3 linked regions of the Oryctolagus cuniculus genome follow. The protein of the gene in region 3 interacts with the protein of the main gene of each other region in a biochemical or structural test. Links are inferred from orthologs where the notes say so. Each region holds a gene or a part of one and is shown on either strand. Other genes may lie near its edges.

Evidence for each region.
Region 1: the proteins of FKBP4 (region 3) and GLMN form a complex in vitro, tested with the Homo sapiens proteins (2 studies listed by BioGRID). The link is inferred for Oryctolagus cuniculus from reciprocal best matches to the Homo sapiens genes FKBP4 and GLMN.
Region 2: the proteins of FKBP4 (region 3) and HSP90AA1 form a complex in vitro, tested with the Homo sapiens proteins (4 studies listed by BioGRID and IntAct). The link is inferred for Oryctolagus cuniculus from reciprocal best matches to the Homo sapiens genes FKBP4 and HSP90AA1.

What each region holds. Positions count from the first base shown.
Region 1 is NC_091438.1:78,356,368-78,360,017, reverse strand, and holds part of GLMN (glomulin), read right to left. Parts: intron 2,550-3,650; coding exon 2,519-2,549; intron 2,417-2,518; coding exon 2,327-2,416; intron 1,274-2,326; coding exon 1,232-1,273; intron 1,129-1,231; coding exon 1,055-1,128; intron 20-1,054; coding exon 1-19.
Region 2 is NC_091451.1:45,357,069-45,360,818, forward strand, and holds the start of HSP90AA1 (heat shock protein HSP 90-alpha), read right to left. Parts: upstream 2,210-3,750; 5' UTR 1,965-2,209; intron 1,501-1,964; coding exon 1,339-1,500; intron 1,249-1,338; coding exon 882-1,248; intron 691-881; coding exon 242-690; intron 154-241; coding exon 1-153. UniProt on the Homo sapiens protein: Molecular chaperone that promotes the maturation, structural maintenance and proper regulation of specific target proteins involved for instance in cell cycle control and signal transduction.
Region 3 is NC_091440.1:106,513,255-106,515,850, forward strand, and holds part of FKBP4 (peptidyl-prolyl cis-trans isomerase FKBP4), read right to left. Parts: intron 2,320-2,596; coding exon 2,199-2,319; intron 1,929-2,198; coding exon 1,772-1,928; intron 1,280-1,771; coding exon 1,189-1,279; intron 1,103-1,188; coding exon 1,019-1,102; intron 821-1,018; coding exon 635-820; intron 163-634; coding exon 1-162. UniProt on the Homo sapiens protein: Immunophilin protein with PPIase and co-chaperone activities. Component of steroid receptors heterocomplexes through interaction with heat-shock protein 90 (HSP90).

The sequences.
Region 1 (3,650 bases), on a different chromosome or scaffold from region 3:
ACTGGTATTCAATAAGCACCTTAAAAGCAAAATCACAAAACACGAAATTACTCTAGGCTATATTACAATTACTCTGCATACATTTGCAGTAATTGAACACAGCAAGAATAAGCATCAGTCTAACAACCTAAAAAACTACCCAAATTGTTCCTTGTAAAAGCAGACTTGTGCTGGCTAGATTAATTAAGCAAAGAAAGGAAATTCAGTATGACCAGCTCAAGAAAGGAGGAGAATCCTTGGTCAAGATACAGAAAGAAAGCAGGAAAGCCAGTGTAAGGACTAGTTACTGAGATTTCACAAACCTGCTCTGACTGGTAATTGAAATGAAGGTCGGATCAAGAGTGCTAGTATTAGCTCGTCCCAAAGAAGATTCTGTAGCACTTCACCACTATCAAAATCTGTTTTTAACTCATTTTTATTACCTAGAATGGGGCCGACAAACTTAGGTCTGCAGGTCAAATCTAGCCTCCTGTCTGTTTTTGACAACAGTTTTACTGGAACACAATAATTTCTAATACAAAGACAAAGCTGAGCAACTGGAATACACTGTGAGGCCCATAACACCTATCTTCACTATTTGGCCCTATACAGGGAATTTAAATCTTTAACTTAGAAAACTTAGAAAACTTTTCTGCCACAAACAGCACTATTTGACAGCTCTAATATCAACTTAAAATGAATGGCCTGTCAGTTATAACTCCAGAGCCATTAATTTCAACAGTGAACAATGGAAATCATTACATATGTAAAGTTCTAGCAGGAGTATTATCAATCTCAGTTTAATCTTTTTTTTTTAATTTAATAATACATAAACCTTTAGGTTTTAAATATTTCAATTAATTGAAATATACATTATTCTTATAATACCTACACACATATGTATTTAAACCCCTTCTCTACCTATCTCAGGTAAGAGAACTTATTACAATGAGGTTTCCAATTACAGCTGAATTACACATAAGACATACTGAAATACCACACGCTAGAATAATTACAGGCTAACTTGCCTTTCAATCAACCACACACTTAGCAACTACCCTTGCTTGATACATACCTAAATAATGTGTATTTGCCTTGTGAATCCAACTTGTTAATATATAGCTGAAGCATAGCTAAACCCTTTTTCCTCTAAAATGGAACAAATCATATTGTTAACATAAAATGAAAAAAATATTTTAAAATATTGTTACTTATCAAAATTTCTCACTGTAACCAATTATTACTTACATACCAATGTCTCAATAGGGCAAAGTGTCATTACTTTGACTAAACCCTGGAAACAAAAAAAATTTTTAATTCAGATACAACAAACAAGCATATTATCAATACTGGGTACTAAAAATTTAAAGAATTGTAGGAAGGAAAGTTAAAAGTGGAAGTAAATTTGTTTTTCCCTGAGCCTTTCATTCTACCATTCCAAGTCTACCACACGGCTAACTATAATCAATTTTGTAAGTAACAGTGTTATATTACAAAGTGTGATTTTAAAAGTGAGTGATATTTTTAATTGTTTATTGTTTAGAGTGGTAAGAACATGAAATCAAACACAGAAATGCAATCCACTCATTAAAAATCAACAGCCTTAACACATGAAGGGGATCTTCAAAGAATCATATAAAATACATATCATATAAAATACATAAGATTCATATAAAATGCATACAATAAAACCATGATAGATTTCAAACATTTTGCACCAAATAAAAGTATCTTTTAATTCCATTTTTCCATGAATTTTCTGAAATATCGCTGTATTAACAAAAGTCAGCCATGTTATTCCATTTAATTATGAAATGTCTATACTCATAGCTAAAGACCTACTTGGATATCATAACAAAGAGTACTAGGCAAAATTAACCACAGGAGGGAACAAAATGTGGATTAGCCTTTTCAGTAATAGGTCAGTGTAGACTCCTAAAGATGGAGTTCTGAGAATCTGAGTTATGAGAAAAATAAAGGAGTTTCTTTAACTAAGCTTCTCACAGAAAGTGTGTAAGAATAAGGTTATCCTTTTCCACTGGAGGCTATGCTACTAATTGTGGTAGTCACTCATGGCAAAATTTAATTTAAATTTAAAATTCAACTCCTCATCACACTAGCCACACATTCCAAGTGTTCAAAGCAGCTAGTGGCTTTCACACTATATAGCACAGATAACAGAACACATCCATCATCACACAGCGTTCCACTGAATTGCACTGCATGAGCGCTTTCAAAGGACATAAACAGAAGAAAATGGAAGCAGGATCAGAAAACACCTTTACTTTACTGAAGTTCAAAATAGGATGCGTTAAAATTAGAGTATCTTTTGTTGTGGTGCTTTTACCTGAGGTACAGTAAGAAAACTCTTGATTTCCAAGTACTGATAAAGGAGACTGTTGTCCTCTATTCTTAACAAGCCATTCTCCAGCAATTCCTACAGATTAAAATTATGAAGATACACACATGGTGAAATCAGCAGCTATAATTGTTGACACGACTATGTATTTAAATTACAATGAGAATAAAGACATCTTACCAATCCTTTGGAGAAAACAGACTCTTCTGTTCTGGAAGAGAAGGTTAAAATATATCAACATGATTTTATAAATTGGTTTAGAACAATTCTTCACTTTAGGAAAATAAATAATTGAAATGTAAAGATTTTTTTTATTTATTTATTTTTTTTTGACAGGCAGAGTGGACAGTGAGAGAGAGAGAGAGACAGAGAGAAAGGTCTTCCTTTGCCGTTGGTTCACCCTCCAATGGCTGCTGCGGCCGGCGCACCGCGCTGATCCGATGGCAGGAGCCAGGAGCCAGGTGCTTTTCCTGGTCTCCCATGGGGTGCAGGGCCCAAGCACCTGGGCCATCCTCCACTGCACTCCCGGGCCACAGCAGAGAGCTGGACTGGAAGAGGGGCAACTGGGACAGAATCCGGCGCCCCGACCGGGACTAGAACCTGGTGTGCCGGCGCCGCTAGGCGGAGGATTAGCCTAGTGAGCCGCGGCGCCGGCCTTTTTTTTTTTTTTTTTTTTTTACAGAAGTAACCATGTTAAAGTGAGTTCACTGAGCCGCGGCGCCGGCCTGAAATGTAAAGATTTTTAAAATACACATTAAGAACTTCTCTTCAAGATTTTGCCAAAATTCTTAATCCACTTTGATCTTTTCATTTAGCTACTGACATCCAAAGGAGATCAAAATTAGCCTGCTCAGAGTTTATTTCCTGATGACAAATCAACAGATTTGCAAAAGCTAGTGTTAACAATACTTTGTGGTCAGCACTGTGGTGTAGTGGGTAAAGCAGCTGCCTGTAGTGCTGGCATCCCATGTGGGTGCTGGGTCGAGTCCTGGCTGCTCCATTTCTGATCCAGCTCTCTGCTACGGCCTGGGAAAGCAGTGGAAGATGCTCCAGGTCCTTGGGCTCCTGCACCCGCATCAGAGACCCAGAAGTTCCTGGCTCCTGACTTTGGATTAGTGCAGCTCCAGCCACTGCGGACACCTGGGAGTGAACCAGCAGATGGAAGACCTCTCTCTCTCTCTCTCTCTCTCTCTGCCTTTCAAATAAATAAATCAATCTTTAAACAAAAAATACTTTATATTCCACTTGACCGTTATGTAAAATCTTTTCAGTTTTTTTAACCCACTGTGCCACAGCATCGGCCCCTCAGTTC
Region 2 (3,750 bases), on a different chromosome or scaffold from region 3:
GATCAGCTCCTCACAGTTGTCCATGATGAAGACTCTGCGAACGTACAACTTGATGTTGTTCTTCTTCTTCCGGTTTTCAAACAGGTCAAACGGGGCTCGTCTCGGGACGAAGAGCAGCGCTCTGAACTCCAGCTGCCCCTCAACCGAGAAGTGCTGCAACGACACACAGGCCCGGTGCCAACCACCACCACCGCGACGGCGCCGGGGCCGGGCTGCCACCCTCCGGGCGCGGGGCGCTCACCTTCACGGCCAGGTGGTCCTCCCAGTCGTTGGTCAGGCTCTTGTAGAACTCCCCGTACTCCTCGTTGGTGATGTCGTCGGGGTTCCTGGTCCAGATGGGCTTCGTCTTGTTGAGCTCCTCCTGGTCGATGTACTTCTCCTTGATCTTCTTCTTCTTCTTCTTGTCGCCGTCCTTCTTCTCCTCCTCCTCCTCGTCCGAGCCCACGTCCTCGATCTCCGGCTTGTCGTCGGGCTGCTTGTCCTCCTCCTCCTTGTCCTTGTCCTCCTTCTCCTCGGCCTCGTCGTCACTCACCTCCTTGTCGCGCTCCTTCTCCACGAACAGCGTGATGGGGTAGCCGATGAACTGCGAGTGCTTCTTCACGATCTCCTTGATGCGCCGCTCCTCCAGGTACTCCGTCTGGTCCTCCTTCAGGTGCAGCACCACCTTCGTGCCGCGCCCCATGGGCTCACCTGCGGGGAAGCCAGCGCGCCGGGTCGCACGGGGCGGCGGAACCCCGCGAGGCCAGCACGGCCCGGGCCAACGAGGCGGCGGAACCCCGCGAGGCCAGGCCGGCCCGGGCGAACGCGGCGGCGGAACCCCGCGAGGCCGGCCCCGCCAGCCCCGGCCCCCTCGCCAGCACGCCCAGCGCCCCTCCCCCTACCTGCGTCGGTCCGCACAGTGAACGAGCCCCCCGCCGAGGACTCCCAGGCGTACTGCTCGTCGTCGTTGTGCTTGGTGATCACCGTCACCTTCTCAGCCACCAGGTACGCCGAGTAGAAGCCGACCCCGAACTGGCCAATCATGGAGATGTCGGCGCCAGCCTGCAGCGCCTCCATGAAGGCCTTGGTGCCGGACTTGGCGATGGTGCCCAGGTTGTTGATCAGGTCGGCCTTGGTCATGCCGATGCCCGTGTCCACGATGGTCAGGGTTCGGTCTTGCTTGTTGGGAATCAGGTTGATGTGCAGCTCCTTGCCCGAGTCCAGCTTGCTGGGGTCGGTTAGGCTTTCATAGCGGATCTTGTCCAGAGCCTGGAAGACCCCAAGTCCTCAGCACCCAGCCGGCGCCCTCCCACCCCCGCCCCCCGAGGCCAGGGCCCCTTCCTCCCCGCCGCCACTTACATCCGACGAGTTTGAGATCAGCTCCCGCAGGAAGATCTCTTTGTTCGAGTAGAAAGTGTTGATGATGAGGGACATCAACTGGGCGATTTCCGCCTGGAAGGCGAACGTCTCCACCTCCTCCTCCTCCATCGGCTGGTCTTGGGTCTGGGTCTCCTCGGGCATCTGCCAAGGGCACGAGGCCCATCAGGCGCCGCACGGCCCCCGCCGCCCGCCCCGAGGCCGGCGCGGGCGCCTCACAAAGGGATGACCTCATTTCGAGCTGCGGCAGGCGCGGGAGCGTGCGCGCTGCGGGGCGGACGCCGCGGCCGGGCCCCGCTCGCCCCGCGCCGCCGCCGGCCGCCCTCCGCGGGCCGCGGCCCCGCCATGGCGGCCGGCACGGCACGGCCGGGGGCTGGGCGCCACCCCCCGCAGCCCCGCACCGGCGCCCCCGCCCCGCCCCCGCCCCGCGGCCTCTCCAGAACATTCGCGGCGCCCCCGGCCCGCCGGAGGCGGCTCCACAGGCCCCGGCCGCGGAGGCCGAACCGCGGCCGCTCGGGCACCGCGGCCGAGGGGGCCCCCGGCCGCCCCCGCTCCCCGCCGCCGCCCCCGCACACCCCCGGGCCTGAGACCCCCCGCAGCCCCCTCACCTTGGCTGAAGAACCGCACGGCCTCCGCGACGCAGCAGCACCGGGACGCTGGAGCAACTGGCGCGCCGCCCCCGCGCCGCCCTTATATAGAGGCGGGCCCGCCCAGCGCGCGGCGCCTTTTCGAGAAGCCTCCCGAACCTTCCGGAAGAACCCTCCCCAACCGCCACCGCGGCCACGCGCCTGCGCCTGCGCCCTGGCTGTGGCCCGCCCCTGCCCCGGGCTCGCGCACGACCCCGCGCAGGGAACGGCGGGCGCCCCCCGCCCGCCCGCGCCGCCGCGCGCCCTCGCGCCGGCCCCTGTGCGCCTGCGCGGGCTCGGCGCCTTCCGGGCTCCTAAGCCCGCCAAGCGCGGGCGCGAGCGCGGGCGCGTGCGCATGCGTCCTCGCGGCGCCGGGCGAGCCGGGGCGGGGGAGGGGGCGTCGAGCCCTGAGGTCCCTGCCCTTGTAGTGTGAAATGTGCAAAAAATGGCCCGTGGGTTATGACAGCTCGGGGCCGCTCCCAACGAGTCGCCCGCGCAAGGTGCAGCGGCCTGGGGTGCAGGCCTTGCCAGCTTTCGGTCGCCGGGCCGGGTCGTCCGCTGTGTCTGGGGACTGGGTTTTGGAGTCGTGCTGCGGGCCTGCGGCGGCGGTTACGGGTCGAGGGCTGCGTTCCGGCGCCTGGGCTTCCGCAGAGGTGCGGCCCGAGGCCGGGCGTGAGGAGGGCGAGGGCCGCGGAAGCCCCCCGGGCCGGCTCCCCGATGCCACGGCCTCCCCGTGCCCAGGTGCTGAACCACGCTCGCCCGGCCGCCGCCGCCGCCGGGGTTCCGGGAAACCCGTAGCCTTTCGCTTCCGGAGAAGCAGCGGCGTGCAGCGCCGGAGCCCCGGGGGCCGCCCCAGGCCAGGTCTAAGTGGGACTGGGGCGCTCGGAGCCCGGGGCGGGGGCGGCGGCGGCCGGGCCCTCCCCACGTGGGAGACCGCGTGGAGTCCCTGGCTCACGCTGCAGCCTGGCCATCTGGGGAGTGAACTTCCGGGTGGAAGACCTCTCTCACCCTACCTTTCAAATAAATGTTAAAAAAGAAAAAAAATAAGAGCCACATCCAGGCTGTAGGGTCCTCACTGTCAGCGTCGGGGTCTGCCCTGGAAGGACGCCGCGGCTCAGCGCGCCGGCCCTCGGAGCCTTTGTGTCCAGCTCTCCCTTTGTTGGCCCACTTCCTCCCTCGACGGGCCTGGCCCTCTGGAACAGCTGGACGCTCCCAACCTAAAGGCACCTGACCGCTCCGCTCCCTCGTGGTCTCTAGGAAAACCCGCTCTTCCAGGAGAAGGTTGGAGAGCGCTTGGGAGCGTGAGCGCAGCCCACAGCGTGCAGAGCGTCGCAAAGGTGGGAACAGACCCCTTCAGCCGCGGGCGGGTCCCGGCCCTCATGTGCGTTTCCTACAAGTGAATGGGGAGGAATGTGACTGGCCCAGGTTTGCCCAGCCTGCGGGGGAGGAGAGGAGTGGAGGGGGAGGCGCGGAGAGCAGGGGCAGGTCCCCAGCTGCCCTCCCTGGAGCCTGGTGGGTTAAACCGCCGCTTGGGATGCGGCATCCGGATAAGCGTGCCGGTTGGATCCAGCTGCTTTTGCTTCCCGCCCGGCTTCCTGTTGATGCGGCAGATGGCCCCTGCCACCCGTGGGAGCCCAGGACAGAGCTCTGGCTCCTGGCTTCAGACTGGCCCCCACCTGGCCACTGTGGCCATTTGGGGGGTGCTCCAGGGGCCGGAAGGTCACTCTCAACTTGTCCGTCTCTCCGCGTCTCCCCTCTGCCTTCCAAA
Region 3 (2,596 bases):
CTGCTGGCACACAGCCAGCTGGGCCTTAGCCGCTTTGTTGCTGGGGTAGAGCTGCAGGACCTTCTGGAAGTCAGCCCGTGCCAGGTCAAAGTCGTTCACAGCCAGGTGGGCCTCTCCCCGGCGGAAGAGGCCCTTCTCGTTGTTGCTGTCCAGTTCCAGGGCCTGAGGATGCGGGGAAGAGGCAGCACAGTGAGAGGGCAGGCCCTGAAGCCCGCCTGACCAAGGCTGGGCTCCACAGGATGAAGAGGAACGGAAATGGCTGACTCTAGCCCACAAAGAACAAGGTATGGCGCATTGAAGGGAGAAGACTGAGGTCTAGGTAGGAACCTCGATCATTCAGGAGGCAGAGGAAGACGACAGCAGGCATCTGGTCAAAGAGGAGGAAGGCTGCCACCTCCATTGTCTTTAGGATCAAGCCGGTGGATGAGAGGCTGGGAACCACGTTGGGTGAACACCGAAGTTCTTCCCACCCAGCGCTTCCCCCATCTCTCCCCACCAAAGCCAAGGTGCGTGCTACTCACAGCCCCCGACTCGGGGCTCATTGTCTCTGCACTCCCACCATTCCTGCCCTGCTCAGGAAGCTTCCTTGGCCCTGCCTGTGCTCGCTGCCTCCACAGCCTCTAAGGGGCCTCACCTTGTTACAGCTTTCCACGGCTGCCGAGAAGGCCTGTAGCTTCAGGTGACACATAGCCAGGTTGAGGTGGGAGGCCAGGCGCAGGGCCTGTGCCTTTTGCACTTCCTCACTGGAAAAACTTGACTCGTATTCCAGCCAAGACACAATCTTCTTGTACTGTAGCAGAGCCTGCTTGTACTTGCCTTCCTGCAGTGGGAGGGAGGGTTCAGGCACCCAGCACAGCTTCGGTGTCACCAGTCTATCACAACTTGTAGACACCTGTGACCCACAGGCAGGGGCCATCTCCTCCTCGCCCCTGAGACCACTGAGCTCAGACACAGCAGGTGCCAAGCCCCCAGGGCAGCCCTCCCAGGGGTGTGCTTAGCAGCGGCCCCGTCTGCTCACCTTGAAGTACACGGTGCCTCGCTCTTTCACGATGGCGCTCTGCTCCAGCTTCTCCTCCGAGCTCATCTCCCAGGACTCCTTGGCCTGCCAGCACCCAGGGGAGAAACACAGCTGTCAGCGCCCGCGGAATCTGCGCCTGGGTGGGCAGGGAAGACGCCGTGCAAACTCACCTTCTCAAAACTCTTGAGGTGGACTTCATATTTCAGCTCAGCATATGGCGGGATCTGAAACTTTTCCTTCCCAGCATTGCCAAACGCGTAACTGCAGGGTTAGAAAGGCTCCGGGTCAGCTCGGCAGCCCTAACGTTTCCCCCTTTCCTCTCAACTACCTCCCCACCCCATGCTTTCAGACCTGGGCCCATTGTTTCCTGTTTGGCAAAATGTTCCCTGACCTTGGTGGTCCCTTAGCATCTTCTGTGAGCACACAGTGGTACGACTACTAATTTAGGAAGGCAGGAACAATGTTCTGTTAGTCCCTGAACCTCGAGATTTTCAGCACCACTATCGTACCTAACAGGTGCATCTCAATAAATGGCGAGTGACTCAATTAATGGGAGATTAAAATCTTAATGTTGGCAGGAGACAATCTGCAGCAATGACTGAAAAGATATGCTTTGATCCAAGGCAGACAATCGTGGCCACGCTTTGACACACATGTGGTTGAGTTGCACCCAGCACACGAAGGGGAAAGGACACAAGTGGCCAGCTCTACAACTCATGGTCTGGCACTGGCTCTAGAGCACCCCCTGCTCACCTGGGCTTGAGGTACAAGATGGAATGTTCGCCTTTCTCCATGCGCTGAATGGCCTTCTCTAGCCCACAAGGCAGATCCAGACTCTCCCCCTCGCCGACCTCAAAGCGGAGTTCCCGCTGGTCAAAGAGCCGGTCCTTGTAGTACCCTTCCAGTGCGACTAGCATGCAAGAGGCAGTATGCCAGGGTGTGAGAGGGCAGGGGACCAAGGAAGGATGCCAGCAGCCTCCCTAGGTCACCCATCACTTCTTGTCCCCAAGATACCCCTGCTGTGGTCTCAGACCTGGAGGGATATTAAGAGTGTATTGTCCAATCCCAAACCTTATAGTTAAGAAAATAGGCTCAGAGAAGGGAAGTGACTTAGCCAAAACCATCTGGTCCCCAGGTGTGCATCAGTATCCAAATCCCAGACTCAGCGGAACTGACTCACCCTCCACAATAGCACCATCGTTGGGCCTAGCATAGCCTTCACCCCGAGTCCGTATTCTGCGGATGATTCCGCCGTCTTCGTCGTCTGTCAGATCCTCTCCCTTGAACTCAAACAATTCCACCTGTGGCAAAGACCCAAGATGACACAGATCCTTCCCCCACGAACTCCTCGATAGTGCACCACCACCTCGCCCTCAGCCAGGAGTCCCTAGTGAACGACCAGATGGATCTGACCACCAGGGCCTTTAACCAGAAGCTCTGTTGTTTCAATGATGGTGGTGAGTGCAGACCATGTGGATTTAAGTTAACTCAGGAGAGCCAAGGTCTGCTCCACTCCAAGAGGGCATGTTTCAGACAATCTCAATCCACCTTCCTTGAGGAAAAAGAAAGCCCAATCCA